3 linked regions of the Kluyveromyces lactis genome follow. The protein of the gene in region 2 interacts with the protein of the main gene of each other region in a pairwise test. Links are inferred from orthologs where the notes say so. Each region holds a gene or a part of one and is shown on either strand. Other genes may lie near its edges.

Evidence for each region.
Region 1: the proteins of TRP2 (region 2) and SEC27 interact in a protein complementation assay, tested with the Saccharomyces cerevisiae proteins (2 studies listed by BioGRID). The link is inferred for Kluyveromyces lactis from reciprocal best matches to the Saccharomyces cerevisiae genes TRP2 and SEC27.
Region 3: the proteins of TRP2 (region 2) and TRP3 interact in binary tests that used the Saccharomyces cerevisiae proteins (3 or more experiments, as listed by UniProt). The link is inferred for Kluyveromyces lactis from reciprocal best matches to the Saccharomyces cerevisiae genes TRP2 and TRP3.

What each region holds. Positions count from the first base shown.
Region 1 is NC_006038.1:169,185-173,446, reverse strand, and holds the start of SEC27 (coatomer subunit beta'), read right to left. Parts: upstream 2,802-4,262; coding exon 2,784-2,801; intron 2,552-2,783; coding exon 1-2,551. Other genes in the region: KLLA0_B01936g (uncharacterized protein), read left to right, coding at 3,230-4,262. UniProt on the Saccharomyces cerevisiae protein: The coatomer is a cytosolic protein complex that binds to dilysine motifs and reversibly associates with Golgi non-clathrin-coated vesicles, which further mediate biosynthetic protein transport from the ER, via the Golgi up to the trans Golgi network.
Region 2 is NC_006041.1:1,779,950-1,783,389, reverse strand, and holds TRP2 (anthranilate synthase TRP2), read right to left. Parts: upstream 2,042-3,440; coding exon 515-2,041; downstream 1-514. Other genes in the region: PTH2 (aminoacyl-tRNA hydrolase), read right to left, coding at 1-126; KLLA0_E19977g (PP2C family serine/threonine-protein phosphatase), read left to right, coding at 2,875-3,440.
Region 3 is NC_006038.1:1,259,347-1,262,699, forward strand, and holds TRP3 (bifunctional anthranilate synthase/indole-3-glycerol-phosphate synthase), read left to right. Parts: upstream 1-1,379; coding exon 1,380-2,852; downstream 2,853-3,353. Other genes in the region: septin CDC11, read right to left, coding at 1-723; phosphatidylinositol-3-phosphatase SAC1, read right to left, coding at 3,077-3,353.

The DNA of each region.
Region 1 (4,262 bases), on a different chromosome or scaffold from region 2:
CGGTATCCAACGCTTTTTCTTCAACTGCGACATCCTCCTCTGACTTATGGTTTACAGGAGCCGCTTCTTTTATGCTCTCGCTTGGTGTATCTAAATCAAGTAAGGTATGTGTATTCGTTGATGGAAAACCTTCTGTCTTACCGACAACTCCAACTCTTTCAGCAATTGCGGCTTTACCGTCATTGATCAAAGTTTGCTTCCATACGTCTACTACAGTGTTGATGGATTCTGCCGATTCCCCGTATGTTAAACTTAATAGGGCAGCTTCTGGCACCCTATTAGATTTTAATAGCAAGTCCTTTGCTCCAGCTATGTCACCTGCTACCCAATAAGCATTGAAAGCTAGGTTGAACTTACCAGAAGTCTCAGCATTCTTTGCCAATGAAACCAACTCTTCCCTATTGTTGAATGAAGAATATAACAAGAAAAGGGATTCTAGATCATTTGCCTTTTCATAACATTGCAAAGCTAAAGTGAAATTGAATTTCTTTAAGGCAGCATCACCCAATTGAATCCATCTGTTCTCACTTTCCTGCTCGGACAATATTTCTTGCGCCAGTGATAGTCGGCCTAATTTAATAGCTAGATCAAACTTCTGCTCAGCGTCTGGTGAAATTTCTAAGGCATCTTCAAACAAATCTTGTCCCTCCAAAAATCTAGAGATCTTTAGCAAGTTTTCTTTTCCTTGAACATTAGGTAGTACGGATGATTTGGCCTCAGCTAGTTCGCCTCTGAGTACCAATGTCTCGAATTCCAAAACATCAATAGATAGTTCATAACCATAAACATGGATATCTTTGTCAGCCAAATAAACTTTATCATCTCTTGGCAAATAACCTAATAAGTACATCTGCTTATCGAAATGTGCAAGATTATAGATTTTACCACCAACAAAGTAGTTTAATCTATTTGTTGGGGTGGTGAAAATGAAGACATCACCAACCCACTTACCTGACGTGATACCCTCTGAAACTTCGTATAATACGTCAAACGCATCTTCTACACCATCTTCATCAATACTTCCAGCTGAAACCGCCTCATCGTAAACATCCTTATTGAACAACAGAGCGTAAGCATTAGCTTCTTCAGCAGAGTCTGTTTCATGGTCTTTGTTGATGATCATAACAAGCTCTCCATTATCTGACCAGATTATATCCTTAGCATCGACATCAATTCTTTTCACTAGATTACCTGATTCCCAATCAAAGAAATATACGAAGCCGTCAGCTTTGACACCTAATACTGAACCAGGGAAGATTTTTTCGACACCGTAATCAAGCGGAATTGACCAAGAAGATACTTGTTTGAAGTTCTTGTAGTAGGTCACTGCACCCGTTTCCGTGATTAACGCATAACTATTAGAATCTGGGCCCCATGCAAAGTCATGGCATTTGCCGAAAGCTTTGTTTCTCCATGCTAAAGCAGTGTACACAATGAATTCGTCATCACCAACAACAGTGACAAATCTACCATTTGGGGAATGCTTCAAACTTTGTGGGAAAACGTCGATCGACCCTAATTCTTTGCTTTGCAAAGGAAGGGCACCGCCTTCTTCTACCTCTTCATTACCTCTAATGATGGCAGAGAAGACGTCAGTGGCTGATGCTTTACCACCGCAATAAACTAACTTACCAACTGGATCCAAAGATAATTTTGGTTGATCATCACCTAGGGATAGAACTGTGAAACCATTGTCGAAACCCGATGCAATGTAATTACGTTTACCAGATGGATGAGTAGCGATACACCAACTTCTTTCAAGCCCGATGTTCAACGTTTTCTCTAGTTTGTATGTATTTGCATTCCAAATCTTGAGAGTTCCATCCTCGGAACCTGAGATAATGATAGGTAAAGTCGGATGGAATACAGCATATGACACGTTAGCCATATGTCCCTCTAAAGTAGCAACATTAGATTTTGTCTGGTAATCCCACACCTTGATGGTACCGTCATCGGAAGTGGTAATCAAATAAGGCTTATCTTGTAACGGGTAATAGTCGACATAATTCACACCTTTAGTTTCATGTGCTTTCAAGGTGAAATTTGGAACATCTTGACCAATCGACCAAACTTTGATAGTGTGATCCAAACAACCGGAGGCAAATTGGTTGGGGTCCTTTGGGTTGAATGCAACAGACATGACGAAGTGCTCATGACCGGTAAAGGTTTGTTGGCAGCCCCAATTCTTTTCCCAGTTCCATAACTTAATAGTCAGATCATCAGAACCTGTCAGAACGAATGGCTTCGTTGGATGCACAGCAATGGAACGGATATAATCAGGATGTGCTTCGAATTCGGTCACTTTTTCACCGGTGTTATAATTATAAACTCTTAATTTAAAGTCATCGGAACCAACAACAACCCAGTTCTTTCTTGCAATGAATCTACCAGCTCTCACTGGAGCATCACATAATGGAATAGATCTCACTTGCGTTTGCGTCTCGTAGTTCCATATCTCAATTCTTCCTGAGTACAAGGTAATTAAAACCCAAGGTTCCTCAGGATGAAAGTCAATGCCCTTAACCCTGTCAGTTCTGGCACTGAGCTTTTTCTAAAGACAAATAAAGTCACCATAGATGAAAAAAATGTTAGTAAAAGCTCTTTCTTTTAGTTGCTGATAAGGGCTGAAGAAATATAATCTGTTGAATCAAAACATAAAACATAAATGTATTGATACCAGAAAAACGCCTAAGATACTTAATATGCAATTGCTAACGTTCAACAGCGATTCTCCGTGATAAAAGCACCTCACAAATTACTCTAGTACACAATGTGTCACATACATTGATGTCAAGTTTCATTGCTAATTTCCTTCCGCTCTGTTGGGTCTCTACCTTCGATGTTTTCTTCAACTAACGTGTTAAAATCATGAATGGATCTTTATTATTCAAATTCCCCTTTCAAACATTTTTTTTTCAAAGCCGTTGATGGACATGGCATAGGACCGGGTAATGTTATTATGATATTGATGTCAGTGTCAGTGTCACATAAATAAAGCATCAACTTGAACCGTTTCGGCTCGAGAGTACTACGAGCTATATGACTTATTTCCCCTAATATTACATCAATCTTCTCCATTTTGTATTCAAAGCTAAAGTTGAAGAATATTACTAATTATTATATTTGTTCGACAAAGGGCGCGATTTAGGCTATTCAGCAGAACAACTGCTATTTGTCTTGATAGTCTCATTTTATTAGAAGCTACAGCAGTTGTGTGGTTTGTTATAGAATGAGTAAAGGTCAACTATGGTTGTTGATTCTCTTTTGTTCTGCTCTATTTTTTGATTTTGCTTACGGGAAAGCACTATACCCTGTTCATACAATTGATAAAGCTTGTGCGGTAGGTTTCAACTCTGCCAACATGAATATGAAGAAAACGTTTGAGATATGGAGTGGGGCAACGATTCCAGTAGATTCTTTGCCTGGAGATACAAAGCTCTTCACTGGATTTAAAGTACACAGGGTATTTTATTTTCACCAGCTATATAAAAGATCAGGGAAAGCTTTGAAGATAACTTATTGTAACGAGGGTAAAGTTGTCTTTGAAACTGAGAAGCAACTTACTAATGATGTAAAGGATTGGAACCAACCGTGGTGTTTTTTTGAATCTAAAGAACAGGAAAATCCCAATAATAGTTTGAAGAACTTTCATTGTTTAAAAATGGCCAGAAGAAAGAAGTATGCGATCCGTCCATTTGATGTTTTTATACCCTACACTTGGGTTGGCGGTTTGTTTTATTGTGATGTGGATATGGATGCCAAACAAACGATATTTCAATCTTTACAGAGTGATGGAATAAGTACATCAAATGCAATGGAATTTTGTTCTTTATCTAATTCGATACCAATTCAGCCATTGTATGCATCGACTTATTCTGATTCCTGGTCAGAAGTTATGGCTAAGAAATTAATCCCATTCATCACTCTCCTGTCAAAGCGAAAAACAAAGACATATGTTCCATACTTACAGACCCCGAATTTGTCTATGGCTCCGACTAACTTTAGTTTGAGCTCATATTACATGAATACAAGTATGTCCCAGATACCTGACTTCAAGAGCAAACTTTCCACAAAAGAACTTCTCATCGATTGGTATTCAAGAAGGAAATCCTCAAAAGAGTTGTCCTGGTTTCAAGAGATTGAAGTTTCAGAAAGATATCATTATGATAAAGAAGATAATTTCAAACTCACGTTGGCAACAGAAAAATTGAAAGATATTATTTCGCCTTTGCTTCAGCTTTCAACCATAGAACAGGACAAAC
Region 2 (3,440 bases):
TTGTTTCAACAATTCTTGTATCTCATCCTTCCTTGATGGTGTTATCTGTCCAAGATAATATCCAGTTGTCAGAGATAATGCTGACAGCGTGAACAACACTGCTAAATTCAACGATGATGGTGCCATCTGGATAGCAGTTATGGTTTGATGTAGCTGTAGTGATAGTGTCAGTTTCCTCTGCTTTAATATGCTCTGCCAGTGATCTCCTTGTCATCACTTGGAATATATCGGTTTAATGTAAAATTTTCCTAAAGAAAAGATTATATGCAACTGCTGGATAGAAACGTATGAAGTAGGACGTCTGCTGGTACTTTAGACCACCAGATTCCTACTCCTACCTTTCGTATATTTATCCAGTGGCATTAATCCATTCATATGTGCATCCATGGTACACTTAAAGCTACCTTTTTACAATTCTATAACAAGTCTAATGTGAATACACGATAGAATACATACTGTGAACGAAACGGGAAAGGTTCAGGTTCAACTATTAGTGGATATGACATATACAGCGCTAGTCTTGAGTGCCAACTTTCTCAGCCCAAATTTGCTCTGCTTGTAGAATAGTATTGTGGTTAGCTTTCATTTTGTTCATTGTTTCTACGTACTCATCATATGGGTCAGAATCAAATATGATACCACCACCAGCTTGCAAATAGGCTATACCGTCTTTATAAACCATTGTTCTCAAGGCAATGCATGTGTCCATGGATTTTCCGTCATATGACCAGTGTCCAACGGCACCAGCGTAAACACCCCGTTTTTCACCTTCCAGTTCTCCGATCAATTCCATGGCCTTGACCTTAGGAGCACCAGAAACTGTTCCTGCAGGGAAAATAGACCTTAGAGCATCAAATCTGTTTTGATCCTTCCTTAGTGTACCACTGACTTGAGAGACAAGATGTTGGACGTGAGAGAACTTTTGCACTGAAAGTAACTCATCCACGGAAGTGGTGGTTGGATCACAGACCCTGTTCACATCATTACGGGCTAGATCAACTAACATCACATGTTCTGCTCTGTCCTTAGTAGAATTTCTCAACTCTTCCGCTAATCTGTCATCTTCTTCTGGAGTCTGACCCCTTCTGACTGTACCAGCAATGGGATGAGTGATAACTTCGTTTTTGGCATCAACTTGGCATAACAATTCAGGTGAAGCACCAATGATTTGGAAATCCAAATAATCGATATAGAATAAGTATGGCGAGGGATTCACAGTACGCAAGTGTTTGTAGATATTGAATGGGTGAAGTGAAGTTGGTCTAGCGACACGTTGAGATGGAACACATTGGATGATATCACCCTTCTTGATATGTTCTTTCAAATCTCTCACGTGCTGTTCGTATCCTTCTTGACCAATGTTTGATGTGAAAGTCTGGTTCAATTTGATTGATGGTTGTTCAGGTAATGGTATCGGACTAGATTCATCCTTCAAGATGGCGATAATGCGTTTGATAATCTCAGATGCATCTTCGTAACCTTGTTCCAAAGATGAGACCGTCTTCACATTGATATTAGTTATGATCTGGAACCTTTGGAAAACATGATCAAATGCAACAATGGTATCGTATAGCATCAAAGCAGATTCTGGTACTTGTAGCACATCTTTCAATGGTCTCTTCGTCTTTGGTTCAAAATACTGAACACAGTCGTAAGAAACATAACCAATAGCACCACCAGAAAGCTTGGGTAAGCCTGGAACATTTTCAGCCAATCGATACTGAGCCAATTCGTCTTGTAGAATATTCAATGGGTCACACGCTTGACCTTCAGTAGGACCAGTCTTGATAATCTTACGTGGACTATGACCAAAAAACGAGTATCGACTCAATTGGTTACCGTTTGCGGATTCAAATAGAAAAGATGGTGACCTCTCCTTATTGTTCAACTCACTCATTTTCAAATACGCCACATGAGGTGTAAGGTCCATTGCTGGCATGAAGTGGTATACTGGGTACATATTGATGGAATCATCATTAGCAGCGATGCATTCTTTAATCACCTCAATTGATGGCTGAATAGTAATATGATCAGAAGCCATTTTTAGTGTATATTTCTGTAAGAATATCTCTAATCACTTCTTTACCTAAATATAACAACCAGATATACTCAAATCTAGGACTGCAATGGTGGGTTGCTCCAAATATTTCACAATGCTCACTGTTTTATAGACAAGTCATTTAACTCATCTTGTTAAATTTTTCAATGTCCAAAGTCTGGATACTATGAAATTGAGTCATAATGAAGTGAAAGAGACACGATAAATGGTACACAGACAGGTGTTAGCTGTCAATTCCAATGCTTCAATAGTACATACATATGACCGAGCTACTTAGTCACTGATGCAATAACCGTCCTTATAAGGGAAAGAACAAGCTTTATGTAATTGAGACTACAACCGAGAGAACGAAGTCACGTGATGGACATCTGGTGATTCCAACGCTAGATACAGCACACTGTGTCCTAATATTGCCAAAGATCAGCTAGAAATCCCAATTTCAAGCTGTTTAGCAGTCCACAGATAGTATGGATTGGATAAGTCCCCCCAAATCCAGATGAAAGCCGTAGGGTCCCTGCTATATCACTTCTTTCCATTGCTCAGATGTTGAATTTGGTGAAACCTTTGTCACAAGTTTTCGGCAATTTTGTTGTTTTGAAACGAAAATATTAAAAGGAAGAGTTGTTTATTTCGCCACCTCAAAGATATCAGCGGATCAAGATAGCAATTGGTTGGAAGAAGGTGGTACAATAAGCTGCTGTACTGTTTAATTGAAGTTTGTTTCTCCAAGAATTTCAATACAGTCGACACATCCTTTTTATTGGTTGAAAGGACGGACGAAGAGACTAATAACAAGCCTTTTTTTAATAGAAACAATGGGTCAAATTTTGTCTAATCCTGTAATTGATAAGGAACAACATTCTGGTAGTGATGTTTTGACTGCTTTTGGGTTATGTGCTATGCAAGGATGGCGTATGTCTATGGAAGATTCTCACATTGTTGATTTGAACATTTCTGATGATGAGAAGGAGCATTTGGCGTACTACTGTGTGTTTGACGGACATGGTGGTTCAAGCGTTGCTCAGTTCTGTGGATCACAGTTCTCCAAGATTTTACAAAAACAGGATGCTTTCAAGAAGAAGTCTTACAACGAGGCTCTTATTCAATCTTTTATTGCGACAGATGAAGAGCTTTTGAAGGATCCCGTGTTAGCGAACGACCATAGTGGATGCACTGCAACGACTTTATTAATCTCTAAATTACAAAATGTAATGATTTGTGCTAACTCTGGGGATTCAAGAACTGTTCTTTCAAGAAACCATATTGCTAAGGCGTTATCGTACGATCATAAACCTACGTTGAAGTCTGAATATTCCAGAATCGTCACTGCTGATGGGTTCGTGGAAATGGACCGTGTTAATGGTAATTTGGCCTTGTCTCG
Region 3 (3,353 bases), on a different chromosome or scaffold from region 2:
GGACCCGTCTGCAGATTCAAACACATCGTTGGAACCGATGATAGAGAAGGGCAGTAAACCTCTGAGATATGTGTTTGTTTGATAATCTTCGTCTGACGCGTCTTCCTCATCGAATGGGAAGTTGTAGATAGGTAGCGAATAATAGTCGATATCCTTTGCGATCAATTTCTTGTTCAATTTCAACTCTTCAGCGGTCAAGGAATCTGCTTTACTGATAACGGGGATCACGTTCACTAGAGTACCTAGTCTTCTGATGAATTCCACGTCAATCTCTTTCAATCCATGTCCAGTAGGATTGATCAAATATAAACAACAATGCACCCTACCATCTTTAAACCGAGGATTTCTCCTTACACGGCTCTCTTCCAACAAAATTTCATCGTACTGGTGACGAATGTAATCAGAGATAATGTCAAACGATGGAGAATTATCCAAAGAGTCGCCGAATCCCGGAGTATCAATGATATTCAATTGGATCTTAAGACCTTCTTCGTCTTCTAACTCAACGATTTCTTCCCTCAATTGCACATCAATCTGCGTATTTGTGTCCGTTGGTAACATAATCGTGGTAGAAGTATCTACCACTTTCTGTCCACATAGAGTGTTAATGAACGTCGACCTACCGCACCCAGACTGACCAACAACCATCACCGTGAACTGAATTCCTCTCTTCAAGTTCTTCCGTTTACGCAAAGCGGCAGATGCCTGAATAATACTTGCCATTTCTGTCTAAATTACAATTGTAGCAGTGCTTTTGTTTCCCAATTCAATACCCCGACAGAAATTAGGTGCTAATAAGACCTCTGAGCAGCTCTTCTGTTAATTGTGTTGTTTACGTGTTAGTTGTTTGTTTAAAGTTTCACGTTTCCGATCTGATTCTAAATTCGTTACTCTGAGGAATCTGGAATTTAGTATGGAGGAAACAGAGAAAGAGTAGGTATTCGACGGTGAAAGAGCATTTGATGGATGATAGAGGGGCTCAGCTAATTGAACAGAGGTTATAGATTGTTACTTGGAAGTCAGATTACGGAATAATCAATCCAGCGATGCACAATTGCCTTAAGAATGTGGATTTGAATGTTGACACATCCGTACATCACATACATATTTATCATTTAGGACGAAATTCGATTCAATTTCTCATTTCATCAAAGCTTTCTCTTGACTCATCTCGAATTGTGATGTGGAACCAGTTAATCATCTCATGTTCAAGACGATTTTATATTTAAAGGAACCCTTAAAGGGCATTGAAATAATTGTAAGAAGAAACTTTCGATAATTTCTTATCGATTGGTTATATTTGGTTGATAATTATCTAGTAGGGCAACTACACTATACTGTGATAAAAAGGAACTAGGTTTTCGCATTAATTTGATATCATGTCCGCTAAAAGAGTTGTTTTGATCGATAACTACGATTCGTTCACCTGGAACATCTATGAATATCTTTGCACTGAGGGTGCTGAAGTTTTAGTTTTCAGAAATGATAAGATTACTGTGGAAGAAGTTGAAGCATTGAACCCTGATATTGTCATGATTTCACCGGGTCCAGGTCATCCAGAGACCGATTCCGGGATATCAAGAGACTGTATCGCATTCTTCTGCGGCAAAGTCCCTGTGTTTGGTGTCTGCATGGGTCAGCAATGTATGTTTGATGTCTTTGGCGGTGAAGTTAGCTTTGCTGGAGAAATTGTTCATGGTAAGACTTCACCAATATTCCATGATGGAAAAGGTTTCTTTAGAAAAGTACCTCAAGGTGTCGCAGTGACGCGGTACCATTCGCTTGCTGGCGCCAAGGAAACACTTCCTGATGTGCTTGAAGTTAGTGCAAGAACGGAGACTGGAATTATTATGGGTGTGAGACATAAGAAATACACTGTGGAAGGTGTGCAATTCCATCCAGAATCTATCTTGACCGAGAGTGGGCATCAAATGATCAAGAATATTCTTGAAGTATCAGGAGGTACTTGGGATGAGAACGCAGCTAACTTGGCTAGGAATGAGCTCGGAAAGACAGCCAGCACTGATAAAGCGAAATCTATCTTGGAAACTATTTACGAAAAACGCCGTGAAGACGTTCAACTGCAATCGACGATCCCAGGTTATCGGTTCTCTGATTTAGAAGCCAACTATAAGTTAGGTTTAGCTCCAAGGGTACAAGATTTCTATGCAAGATTAACTGCTACTGAGAAAACAGCAGTCTTGGCTGAAGTGAAGAGAGCTTCTCCATCGAAGGGTGACATTGATTTGAGTGTCGTTGCTTCAGAGCAAGCGTTGAAGTATGGTCAGGCAGGTGCTTCAGCGATCTCTGTATTGACCGAACCTCACTGGTTCAAAGGTTCCATTGAAGATTTGAGAAATGTAAGAAAAGTGTTGGAGGTGGCATTTGCCAATGACGAATCGAAAAGACCATGTGTATTACGCAAAGAATTCATTTTCTCAAAGTACCAAATCCTAGAAGCTAGACTTGCAGGCGCTGATACTGTGCTATTGATCGTGAAGATGCTTGACGACAACTTGTTGAAGGAACTGTACGATTATGCAAAAAGTTTGGATTTAGAACCTCTAGTGGAAGTAAACTCCGCAGAAGAACTAAAACGTGCGTTGGCAATTGGATCAAGAGTGATCGGAGTTAATAACAGAGACTTGCACTCTTTCAACGTAGATTTGAGTACTACCTCAAAATTGGTCAGTTCTGTACCAGAGGGAACCCTACTAATTGCTTTATCTGGAATAACAATAGCAGCTGATGCTGATCAATATAAAAAGGAAGGTGTTCATGGTGTTCTTGTTGGAGAAGCTCTCATGAGAGCTGAATCTGTAAATAAATTCATCGAGGAGCTAATCAACTAATGATACCAGTCCATTTCATCCTTCGTTATGTATGTATCCACCAACTTGTAATGATTGTATTTCTGTAATTTTAGATATAGACGTTAAAGTAAGAATGATACAGATACTATAAATTCAAAAGGTATCGAACATTAAAACTGGGAAGAAGAAGTCATAAAAGTAGAAACGTCATGGAGTAAATAAACATGAAAATGAAAGCTCTATACATTAAGGAATGTTCAATGCTAGTCCCTCTTGAAGGAATTTGGTTTAACGAACTTTGGATCAGGAACGTATCTAACACCTTTGAATTGTTTCTCCTTGTTATGCGTGTGCTCAGCAATCAAATACCCTAAATCGACTAACTTTGGCCAGTTCACATATTGAATACCCCTCTTAAATACGAAATGTGTGCATAAGACAACAATACTGAAGGATCCGAAAAAGAAAGATAGATTCTTCGCACTTGTGAAATGATTCTTGGGGAAAAGTATAGTTGCCATCATAACTGTGAGGGCAGCG